Linked DNA regions of Caenorhabditis elegans. The protein of the gene in region 2 interacts with the protein of the main gene of each other region in a pairwise test. Each region holds a gene or a part of one and is shown on either strand. Other genes may lie near its edges.

The links.
Region 1: the proteins of F25B3.5 (region 2) and pph-4.1 interact in a two-hybrid assay, tested with the Caenorhabditis elegans proteins (one large-scale study listed by BioGRID).

Annotation. Positions count from the first base shown.
Region 1 is NC_003281.10:12,345,327-12,353,139, forward strand, and holds the start of pph-4.1 (Serine/threonine-protein phosphatase 4 catalytic subunit 1), read right to left. Parts: upstream 6,011-7,813; 5' UTR 6,005-6,010; coding exon 5,904-6,004; intron 5,849-5,903; coding exon 5,725-5,848; intron 5,667-5,724; coding exon 5,541-5,666; intron 5,466-5,540; coding exon 5,187-5,465; intron 3,296-5,186; coding exon 3,054-3,295; intron 369-3,053; coding exon 239-368; 3' UTR 1-238. Other genes in the region: FAM172 family protein homolog Y75B8A.31, read left to right, coding at 6,322-6,498, 6,567-6,830, 6,884-7,003. UniProt on the Caenorhabditis elegans protein: Protein phosphatase which plays an essential role in meiosis and in early embryonic mitosis.
Region 2 is NC_003283.11:9,568,198-9,571,973, forward strand, and holds F25B3.5 (uncharacterized protein), read right to left. Parts: upstream 2,101-3,776; 5' UTR 2,095-2,100; coding exon 1,448-2,094; intron 1,369-1,447; coding exon of another isoform or gene 1,365-1,368; exon of another isoform or gene 1,357-1,364; coding exon 1,101-1,356; intron 1,062-1,100; coding exon 864-1,061; 3' UTR 529-863; downstream 1-528. Other genes in the region: F25B3.4 (Serine/threonine-protein phosphatase), read right to left, coding at 303-448, 498-510.

The DNA of each region.
Region 1 (7,813 bases), on a different chromosome or scaffold from region 2:
TGAAATAAATTTTAATACTTTTTTTTGTCGAAAAAAAAATAAATCCGTAAAATTTGGAGGGGGGTGGACATTTACAGAAAAATGTGTGTGTGTGTGTGGAAAATAATAATTAAATATTGAAATATTTTTGTGGGAGCAAAAAAAAAAGGAAAAAAATGGTGTTTCGGCGATATAAAAGGGGGAGATTCTTCGGAATTTTTGGGCGAGAAAGAAATTTCGAGAAAATTTCGAGAAAAAATTAGAGGAAATAGTCGGCGTGCGGTTTTTTGGCCGGTGCTCCGCGATTTTCTTGTGGAGCAGCTTCGAAAATTGTGAATTCCTTGTTGAGATTCTCGTCGAGCTCGAGAATTGCCGCCACGTTGCCGCATCTGGAAAATTTTCATTAAGTTTTTTTTTACTGCAAAAAAAGCTCAAGTTTTCCGGGAAATTCAATTTTTCTTTTGAAACAAATTTTTGGGTTTGATCTACAAAAAATGCGGGATTTTTTTGTCCAAAAAATGTGACGTCAACACGTTCTTAATCATGCAAAATCAGTGCGTCACTTCTCCCGCATTTTTGTAGATCAAACCGAAATGGGACACTCTGGCACTACGTGATTTTGGCGGGAAAATTTTAAATTTTCTGGAAACAAATTTTGGCGGGAAAATTTAAATTTTTTGGAAACAAATTTTGGCGGGAAAATTCAAATTTTTTGGGAACAAAGTTTGGCGGGAAAATTCAAATTTTTTGGAAACAAATTTTGGCGGGAAAATTCAAATTTTCTGGAATCAAATTTTGGCGGGAAAATTCAAATTTTCTGGAAACAAATTTTGGCGGGAAAATTTAAATTTTCTTTTAAAAACATATTTTGACGGGAAAATTCAAATTTTTTGGAAACAAATTTTGGCGGGAAGTTTAAATTTTTTTGGAAACAAATTTTGGCGGGAAAATTCAAATTTTTTGGAAACAAATTTTGGCGGGAAAATTCAAATTTTTTGGAAACAAATTTTGGCGGGAAAATTCAAATTTTTTGGAAACAAATTTTGGCGGGAAAATTCAAATTTTCTGGAATCAAATTTTGGCGGGAAAATTCAAATTTTCTGGAAACAAATTTTGGCGGGAAAATTTAAATTTTCTTTTAAAAACATATTTTGACGGGAAAATTCAAATTTTTTGGAAACAAATTTTGGCCGGAAAATTCAAATTTTTTGGAAACAAATTTTGGCGGGAAAATTCAAATTTTTTGGAAACAAATTTTGGCCGGAAAATTTGAATTTTTTGGAAACAAATTTTGGCGGGAAAATTTAAATTTTCTTTTAAAAACATATTTTGACGGGAAAATTCAAATTTTTTGGAAACAAATTTTGGCGGGAAAATTCAAATTTTTTGGAAACAAATTTTGGCGGGAAAATTCAAATTTTCTGGAAACAAATTTTGGCGGGAAAATTCAAATTTTCTGGAATCAAATTTTGGCGGGAAAATTCAAATTTTCTGGAAACAAATTTTGGCGGGAAAATTTAAATTTTCTTTTAAAAACATATTTTGACGGGAAAATTCAAATTTTTTGGAAACAAATTTTGGCGGGAAAATTCAAATTTTTTGGAAACAAATTTTGGCGGGAAAATTCAAATTTTCTGGAAACAAATTTTGGCGGGAAAATTTAAATTTTTTGGAAACAAATTTTGGCGGGAAAATTTAAATTTTCTTTTAAAAACATATTTTGACGGGAAAATTCAAATTTTTTGGAAACAAATTTTGGCGGGAAAATTCAAATTTTCTGGAAACAAATTTTGGCGGGAAAATTTAAATTTTCTTTTAAAAACATATTTTGACGGGAAAATTCAAATTTTTTGGAAACAAATTTTGGCCGGAAAATTCAAATTTTTTGGAAACAAATTTTGGCGGGAAAATTTGAATTTTTTGGAAACAAATTTTGGCGGGAAAATTTAAATTTTCTTTTAAAAACATATTTTGACGGGAAAATTCAAATTTTTTGGAAACAAATTTTGGCGGGAAAATTCAAATTTTTTGGAAACAAATTTTGGCGGGAAAATTCAAATTTTCTGGAAACAAATTTTGGCGGGAAAATTTAAATTTTCTTTTAAAAACATATTTTGACGGGAAAATTCAAATTTTTTGGAAACAAATTTTGGCGGGAAGTGTAAATTTTTTTGGAAACAAATTTTGGCGGGAAAATTCAAATTTTTTGGAAACAAATTTTGGCGGGAAAATTCAAATTTTTTGGAAACAAATTTTGGCGGGAAAATTCAAATTTTTTGGAAACAAATTTTGGCGGGAAAATTCAAATTTTTTGGAAACAAATTTTGGCGGGAAAATTCAAATTTTCTGGAATCAAATTTTGGCGGGAAAATTCAAATTTTCTGGAAACAAATTTTGGCGGGAAAATTTAAATTTTCTGGAAACAAATTTTGGCGGGAAAATTCAAATTTTCTGGAAACAAATTTTGGCGGGAAAATTTAAATTTTCTTTTAAAAACATATTTTGACGGGAAAATTCAAATTTTTTGGAAACAAATTTTGGCCGGAAAATTCAAATTTTTTGGAAACAAATTTTGGCGGGAAAATTCAAATTTTTTGGAAACAAATTTTGGCGGGAAAATTTAAATTTTTTGGAAACAAATTTTGGCGGGAAAATTCAAATTTTCTGGAAACAAATTTTGGCGGGAAAATTTAAATTTTCTTTTAAAAACATATTTTGACGGGAAAATTCAAATTTTTTGGAAACAAATTTTGGCCGGAAAATTCAAATTTTTTGGAAACAAATTTTGGCGGGAAAATTCAAATTTTTTGGAAACAAATTTTGGCGGGAAAATTCAAATTTTTTGGAAACAAATTTTGGCCGGAAAATTTGAATTTTTTTGGAATCAAATTTTGGCGGGAAAATTTAAATTTTTTGGAAACAAATTTTAGCGGGAAAATTCAAATTTTCAGAAAAAAATTGTATTTTTTCCTAAAAATTATACTTTAAATGATAAAAAAGTGACCAAAAATTTTAATTTTTCGTCTTTTTCACGAAAAAAAAATTTCCGTTTTTTTTCCAAATCCATCCCGTACCGATAACAATAGTTGGGCGCCGACCAAACAGTGAGCACTTTCTCGTTGAAATGCCATTTATATCCTTCCATAACCAATTGATGAGCTCTACAGATCAAATCGACTCCGTTCGTTTCGCAAAACGTTTTCGACGCGTCCGCTCCGAATAGATAACCGGCTCCGCGTGGACTTAGGCCCCATCCAACATTTCCTTCTTCGGGGTCCGACCACAGTAGATCACACATTGGACCGTCGTGGGGAACCTGGAAATTTTCAGAATTTTTTTTCGCTTTTTTAGCACAAATTTATACGTTTTTCTATCAAAACGAACAAAATTTGATTAAAAAATTGATTTTTTTTTCAATTTTTGAGGCGGAACGGTGGTTTTGCAAACCTGCGGCGCGGTTTGATTTCTGTCGATTTACGGTGGAGTTTGTGCTACACGTGGATAAGCGTTTTTTTTTTTTTTTCGAATTGTTCTTCAGTTCTGTAATTTTTTTTGTAAACACTATTCAAAAAATATATATATATGGACCCAATTTTTAATGTTGAACACCAAAAAAAATTGGCAAAAATGGCCCAAAACTGTAAATTTACTATTAGAAAAAATTAAAAAATTAATCGACGCTTGTCCGTGTGTATTACAAAATTCTCCGTAAATCGAAATATAGCAAACCGCAGACTTGCAAAACCTTCGCCCCGCTGGAAAAAAGTGATTTCTCGAAAAATTTAACGTAAATTTTGAAATTTCGCTTCAAAATATCCGAAATAGTATCAAATTCAGAAAAATAAAAAGATTTTTCAATTTTGAATTCCCTCCAAAATGAGAACTCAAACTCCGCCCACTCCATCTGATTGGTTGAAAAGTGGGCGGAGCGAATCGCTGATTGGTTGAAGACAAAAATCGCGTTTTTGTGGTTTTTTTCTGATTTTGAGACTATTTTTTGAATTTTTTAGTATTTTTCGGGGAAAAAATCGAAATAAATGAAATAAAAATTAAATTGGTCGATTTTGATGAGAAAAAATTAGAAAAAAGTCTGAAAATTAAAAAAAAAAATTTTTAATGAAAAAAACGGAAATTTTTTTTTAAACGGAAATTTTCGGAAATTTGCCGATTTTCTGGTTATTTTCATTTTCGGCAATTTGCCGATTTGCCAGAAAATTTTAATTCCGGAAATTTGTCGATTTGACGGTTATTTTCATGATCGACAAATTGCCGATTTGCCAGAAAATCTTAATTCCGGAAATTTGCCGGAAATTATCAATTCCAGCAATTTGCCGATTTGCCAGAAATTTTCATTTTCGGCAGTTTGTCGATTTGCCGGAAATTTTTAATTCCGGCAATTTGCCGTTTTTCCGGCGAATTCGGCAAATTTCCGACTTGCCGGAAATTTTTAAATTCCGGCAATTTGCCGATTTGCCGGAAATTATCAATTCCAGCAATTTGCCGATTTGCCGGAAATTATCAATTCCAGCAATTTGCCGATTTGCCGGAAATTTTTAATTCCGGCAATTTGCCGTTTTTCCGGCGAATTCGGCAAATTTCCGACTTGCCGGAAATTTTTAAATTCCGGCAATTTGACGAATTGCCGGAAATTTTCAATTTCGGCAATTTTCCGATTTGCCGAAAATTTTTAAACATGGCAATTTTCCGATTTGCCAGAAATTTTTAATTACGGCAATTTGCCGATTTGCCGGAATTTTTTAATTCCGGCAATTTTTCGATTTGCCGGAAATTTTCAATTTCGCCAATTTGCCACAAATTTTTTAATTCGAACATTTGCCGATTTGCCAGAAAATTTTAATTCCGGCAATTTGTCGATTTGCCGGTTATTTTCATTTTCGGCAATTTGTCGATTTGCCAGAAAGTTTCATTACGGCAGTTTGTCGATTTGCCAGAAATTTTTAATTCCGGCAATTTGTCGATTTGCCGGTTATTTTCATTTTGGGCAAATTTGCCGGTTTGCTGATTTGCCGGAAATTTTTAAATTCCGGCAATTTGCAGATTTGTCGGTTATTTTCATTTTCGAAAATTTTAAAACTTTCCGGCAAATTCGGCAAAATGCCGGAAATTTAAAAAATTGTAATTCACCGAATTTTAACCGAAATTCAAAGCAAAATTCCATTAAAAACAGCATATTTTTTGCGTTTTACCTCCTGCTTCCGATCAATAACACGAATCTGATCCATAGTACTAATCGACGGGGATAATCCACCATGAACACAGAAAACCTTCCCATCAATTACAGCGGCAAGTGATAAGTAGTCGAAAACTTCGGTACAATGTTTCCAAACAGACGCATTTCCATATTTCCGAAGGCATTCATCATAGAACCCGTAGACTTGAGTAATCTGGCGACTTTCGTGATTTCCACGGATCAACATCATTCGATCCGGATAGCGAGCTTTCAGTGCGAGAAGTAGAAGGAATGTCTGGAAAAATATCGATTTTTTGGGAGTTTTTTTTGCAATTTTTTCGCCAGGAAAATTGCAAAAAAGCGGGGGCACCTCCACAGAATAGAAGCCTCGATCCACGAAATCTCCGAGGAACAAATAGTTGGTGTTCGGCACTGGTCCGCCGACTTTGAAGAGCTCCATTAAATCGTAGAACTGGCCGTGGATGTCTCCGCAGATCTGGAAATAGAATTTAAAATGGAAATTTTGATTTAAAAATCGATTTTATCCAACCAACCGTCACCGGAGAATCGATAACCTGGACGTTGCCCTCTTCCGCTAGGATTTCACGAGCTTTTGCGCAAAGTGTTTTGACATCTTGCTCCGCGATGAGCTCACATCTCATCAGCTTTTCTATGTGGCTGAAAATATTTTTTTTTTGTTGATATTTTATTGTTTTTATATCAAAACTGCTACCGATCCAAGTCATGAGTTGTTAGCTGGTCCGATGGGCCGGAAGTCGGTGAGTCGACACGTGAAAATGTGGAATTTGCAGAGTCGGTGCACGCCAGAGCCATTAAAAGCTGTAAAATACGTTGTAAATCGATTTTTTGAATTAATATTTAATTTAAAAACGAAAAAACGAAAAAAACCAATGAAAACAGGCGAAATCGACTTTAAATCCAGAGTTTTTCGTGCAAAAATATAAATTCAGTGTAATATTGGCATTGTGCCAGATTGCCAACAGAGCGCGATTGCGCCGTGTGGACGAGAGAAACCTCGGTCGCGGCCAGGAAATTTTTTTTTTTTTTTAATTTTAAAAATTGTTTTTTCGGAAATTTTCTCTGTTCTAACCAGTTTTTTTGCGAATAATTCAAATAAATTTCAGTGAACAATGTCAAGTTTGGCGAAACTCGGGTACTTTTTCGACGAAAAAGGCGTGCTGAAAACGGAGAAGGACAAAAAACCCTTCAAATTCACTACACAGGAGGATTATGAAGAACTGGGAGAAGCAGTTGATCTGGAAGTTTATGAGCTTCTGGAGACACGTTGTGGGCTGAAGAGAAAGGCGGTAAATTAAGAAATTTTTAAAAAATGGAAAAAAAAATTTAAAAATCAAAAAAAAAAATTTTTTTTCAGCTAAAACTTCCAGGAAAAACCGACGAGGATGAGGATCTAAGCTTCATTTTTGTGTCGAAAAATTTCAAAAAAGCTGCAAATCTTCTAGTATTGATCCACGGAAGCGGTGTCGTCAGAGCCGGACAATGGGCTCGTAGACTCATTATCAATGATAATTTGGAGTGTGGAACTCAGATTCCGTATATCGAAAGAGCTATTGAAAATGGATGGGGTGTTGTGGTGATGAACACTAATTTGAATGAAAGTAAAGATCAGGATTTGAAGGTGTGAAAAAACCCGGGAAATTTCGAAAAATTCGCTGAAAAATCGATTTTCAGTACTCCCGCACACCTGTCGAGCACGCTGAAACTGTCTGGATAGCGTGTATTGAGCCATCGAATGCTAAGAGCATCTACGTGGTGGCTCACAGTCGTGGTGGTTACGACACAGCCAGTGTGGTGGGATTTTCAGCACTTTTTTGGCAAAAAAAAGCGAAAAAATCGATGTTTTTCCGATTTTTCAAGGCGAAAATCCCTGTTTTTCTGAATTTTTTAAAGGAAAATGCAATTTTAATCTATTTTCAGCTTTTTTTTTGGCAAAAAAGAGCGAAAAAACGACATATTTCCGGATTTTTAAGGCGAAAATCCCTGTTTTTCTGAATTTTTGAATAAAAATGCGATTTTAAACTGTTTTCAGCTTTTTTTTGGCTAAAAATGAACGAAAAAATTGACTTTTTCCGAATTTTTAAGCCATAAAACCCTGTTTTTCTGAGTTTTTGGATAAAAATGCGATTTTAAACTGTTTTCAGCACTTTTTTTTTGGCAAAAAAGAGTGAAAAAATCGACTTTTTTTTTGATTTTTTAAGGCAAAAAAACCCTGTTTTTTTGAATTTTTGAATAAAAATGGGATTTAAACTGTTTTCAGCTTTTTTTTGGCTAAAAAAGAGCGAAAAAACGACTTTTCTCCGATTTTTTAAGGCAAAAATCCCTGTTTTTCTGATTTTTTTAAAGGAAAATGCAATTTTAATATATTTTCAGCTTTTTTTTTGGCAAAAAAAGCGAAAAAACGACATATTTCCGGATTTTTAAGGCGAAAATCCCTGTTTTTCTGAATTTTTTGAATAAAAATGGGATTTTAAACTATTTTCAGCTTTTTTTGGCGAAAAATCGACATTTTCGCGATTTTTTAAGGCAAAAACCCCTGTTTCAGGTCTCGCCACGACAAAATTGTGTTCAAGGAATAAGAAAAAAAGGTATGCGCCTTTAAAG
Region 2 (3,776 bases):
AAAAATCAAAATTTCAAAAACGTGATGTTCCTATTTTTGTTATTCCCTGTGTGAAATTTCTCCAAAATGAAAAGCCATGTCGACTTCGAACCAATCAGCTCTATACACTCCATCTGATTGTCTCGAAAATGAATGGAGCGAATCGCTGATTGGTCACAGTTATCCTTTTGAAGGAAAATCAAACAGGGAATTGAGCCAAAATTGAAACATCTTGTTTAAAAAAAACATTTCGTCTCTAAATCTCTGAATTTAGTTTTTTTGAAGCGATATTCCCATTCACGCTTTGTAAAACTGTTACAAACCATGCTCTTATTCTCCGGAGTGATTGCGGTCTTGCTGTTGCTCTGTGGCACACGACGCGTCTTCTCAGTTTCATTTGCAATTTCCGGTTTGGTCTCCAACTCCGTTCTTTCCGTTTTATCAACGTTATTAGTTTTCTGTTTATTTTCTAAATACACTCGTTTTCTTCTCTGATTTTAATAATCATATAAACTCACTTCCTTGAAGCATTGTCAGATTCTCTTGTTGTTACAGTTGATTGAATTTCTTTATGAATTTCTTTTCGGCAAACTGGGAATGAATTATTTTGGGAAATCGGGACAAAATGGGCATTGAAACGTGGAAACAAAAATACACGATGCAAAAGATAAGATCTCGGGCTGAGAAAATTATTAAAGGTGACACGTGAAATATTGCAAAATGGGACCGTGGATTGTGAATTCAATTATGTAAATTATTGGAATAGAGATTTTTTTTAAATAGAAAAAGGATACAGGTGTAGAAAAACAAATGAATTAACGTTTGAACTGGTGCTATTCAACTAATCAATTAAACCCCTAGAGTCGGATTTCAAAAAATGTAGATTAGTCATTGAATAGTTCATCCAGAATTGGCATAAAGAATTCCTCATAGAATCCGTTTGGATTCTCGAAATCTTCACCGTTCTTCTCGCTCTTTTTTACAGCGTCATTGAAATTTTCTAAAACTAGCAATTGCAGTTCTTCTTTTGATTTTCCACCAACTGTCCTTCCAAGTTGAAGTTTCAGAAAGAAGAAGTTTATCTGAAAAATAAATGTATAATTATATAAAACAATATTTACCTCTTCATCTGTCACTCCCAAAATCTGTCCAAGTAGGCTTTTTTCCTCCGGTTCAATATCTTCTCTGATCAAAAATCGTTTAATAAGAACACGAGATTGATAAATTCTAAGTGCAGACTCGGTGTTTTTTTCACACAAAAGCTCTTCGGGGATTCCTTCATCAGTGTTGTCAAAGATTTTGAAAAATGGCGAAACATTTGGATTGTTGTCATCTACTCCAGGAAGGAAGATTTCAATCCATTTGCTGCCTTCCTCCCTGAAAAATTAGCTAAAAAATATTCGCTTTCTTTTTAAACAAAACTAAATCAACATTGCTGATAAGACACATTTAGTTCAAAATAACTCACCGATAAAGAATAGATCGTCGTGATTCCAAATTTTCGTTCGGAGAATCTATAAGTTGCATATACAACATTGCAGCAACTGTTCTTGTTACTGCTTCGAGAATCCCTGCCTTTGAAAAAATCAATTCCAAAATTGGAACAGCAGGGGGTTTGATTACTGGAGGAATCAGTTGTCCACGCTCTGGTTTTTTCATCTTCCCGATGTTTCGTGTTTGTTCAAGCAAAGCCATTTTCCGTTGTTTCTTCGATGCTTTCCGAAGTTTGAGGCGACGAATCTGTGGTGACGTCTTCAATCGAATTGGCATTGGTGTTGGCGGTCTTTCCAAATTTTCTGCTTGTTCGTAGATTGCACGTAACAAAATATCAATCGGTAACAAACGGTTGATCTCTTCCATGTCCTCGACGTGAGTTTTTCTTTTGAGGTTCTGTAAGTTCACTTGACGAAGCTCTTGGACTCGATGTCGACTTGGTCGGAATCCGTAAGGAGGGGTAAATACAGAAGATCTGAGAGAAGAAGTTGAGACGAGACCCGCTTGTGGGCAAGCAATAAGTGGTGATGCAATCAAAATTCGTCGTTTTTTGATTGGAGTTGGTGAAGCATGGAACTTCTCTATAGAAGATTGAATAGATTTTGTGATTGATGGAGTCATCTGTAATAAAAGAGATGTTTAGTGATAATGCGATGATTATGCAAGTAGTAGAAATATTCGGAGAGCAAAAAAGAAGTGAAAGCGATAAGCGTCAGAGAAAGGTATGTGCTGTATATGCACACATATGTACACTCCAATAAAGGATTACAACTTTTTTAATTTCAGACTTTGGAATTGTTGATGTGGAATCAGTTGGAATGTCTATGTGGTACAGATAATACCAACAAGAACATGTGTTTGTACTGAGCAAAAAATAAATGTATATAATGGAAAACTGTTGTCCAGATAGGTGGCTACAGTTTGAATCTGGCAATAATGAGTCACGTGAGTGATGTCATCGCGGGGAAAAACAGGAGAGAGAAACAATGAGGAAACATCACTGGATCTTCGAGAAAACTGTTACTTTCCGAACATCGGGCATAGAGCAATGTTTTGAAATCTAAACTGGTTTAATAGATATGTTTTACGTATTAGTTCATTGGTCGAAGTTGAAATCACTGAGAATCCGGTTTCCAAGAAAAAGAAAAGGAAATGATTTTGTCTATCTCTACATTTTGAACTTATAAAGTGCTGTCATCTATTTTGAAAGCATGAAAACCGTTATTGAAAAATTTGAAATTCTATGTTAACACTAAAATTAATAAAATACAAAAAGGTATAACTATAAAATTGAAATATTTATATTGAAAAGGAATAACTGAATTGAAAGCTATTGCTTTTCATCTAATGTAAACATTTAGACAAAGAACTAGTGAAAGGAAAGAATATTCCAGAAAATCTTTTCAAGTTTGTTTTTTATGGAATGTAGCTCTTCTACTAGAATTGATGATTTTAGTTTCAAAAATTTCACCAGCTCCGCCCAAATTTTCTCACAATGATCCAGTAAAGGCCACCGAAGTCACCAATGTTTAGTACTCGTTATCATTATTTCTCGAATGACGAAAGAAGAGCCAGCTCTTATTCCCAACAATACCGCTTTCTCTTATCACTTATAAGAAGGAACGACAAAAAAAGAAAGGCACATGATATAATAGTTGGAGTCCAATAACGAAAAAAGGATTTTGTCATATGATGAAGGAACAGATACTTAAAAAAAAATAAAACAATGACACAGTTACAACGATCCATGTCAAGCTATCCCTATTACCGTTAAGCTCAAGAGTAATAGACTTATGATTAAACTGTTACACTTTGCACAAGTAAGCGTAATGACAGATTTCTTGAAAGTGACTAATAGTTCAGCTAAGTAGATTTAAATACCAAATGACCTTATGAACTTGAAACAGGAATAGTATTTCATCAAAACTAGATGGGATATTGTCACATGGTCATTTGATTTGTTACTTTCACTTTTCGTTAAACAGATTCTTGAGTTTTGATGCCCTATTTACATGAAATAATATACTTACTACTAATTCAAAATTTTCTGGGATGGAAATTTTTTGCAAATCGCAAAACGCGTCAAAATTCAAACTAGAAACCGAGCCAAATGCAGTCACCATATACGTGTGTATCAGTCAGTGGTTAGAAACATTGAAAAGCAAAACCAAACAGATCAGTGAGAGTATGATGAAACCATAACATTTTCGGAAAGCAAAGTCACAGATTGTGAGCGTATGTGTTTATCACCATTCACACTACCCCCTCCCTTCTCAACGCTCTTTCCGTTCCCCTGGAGGAAG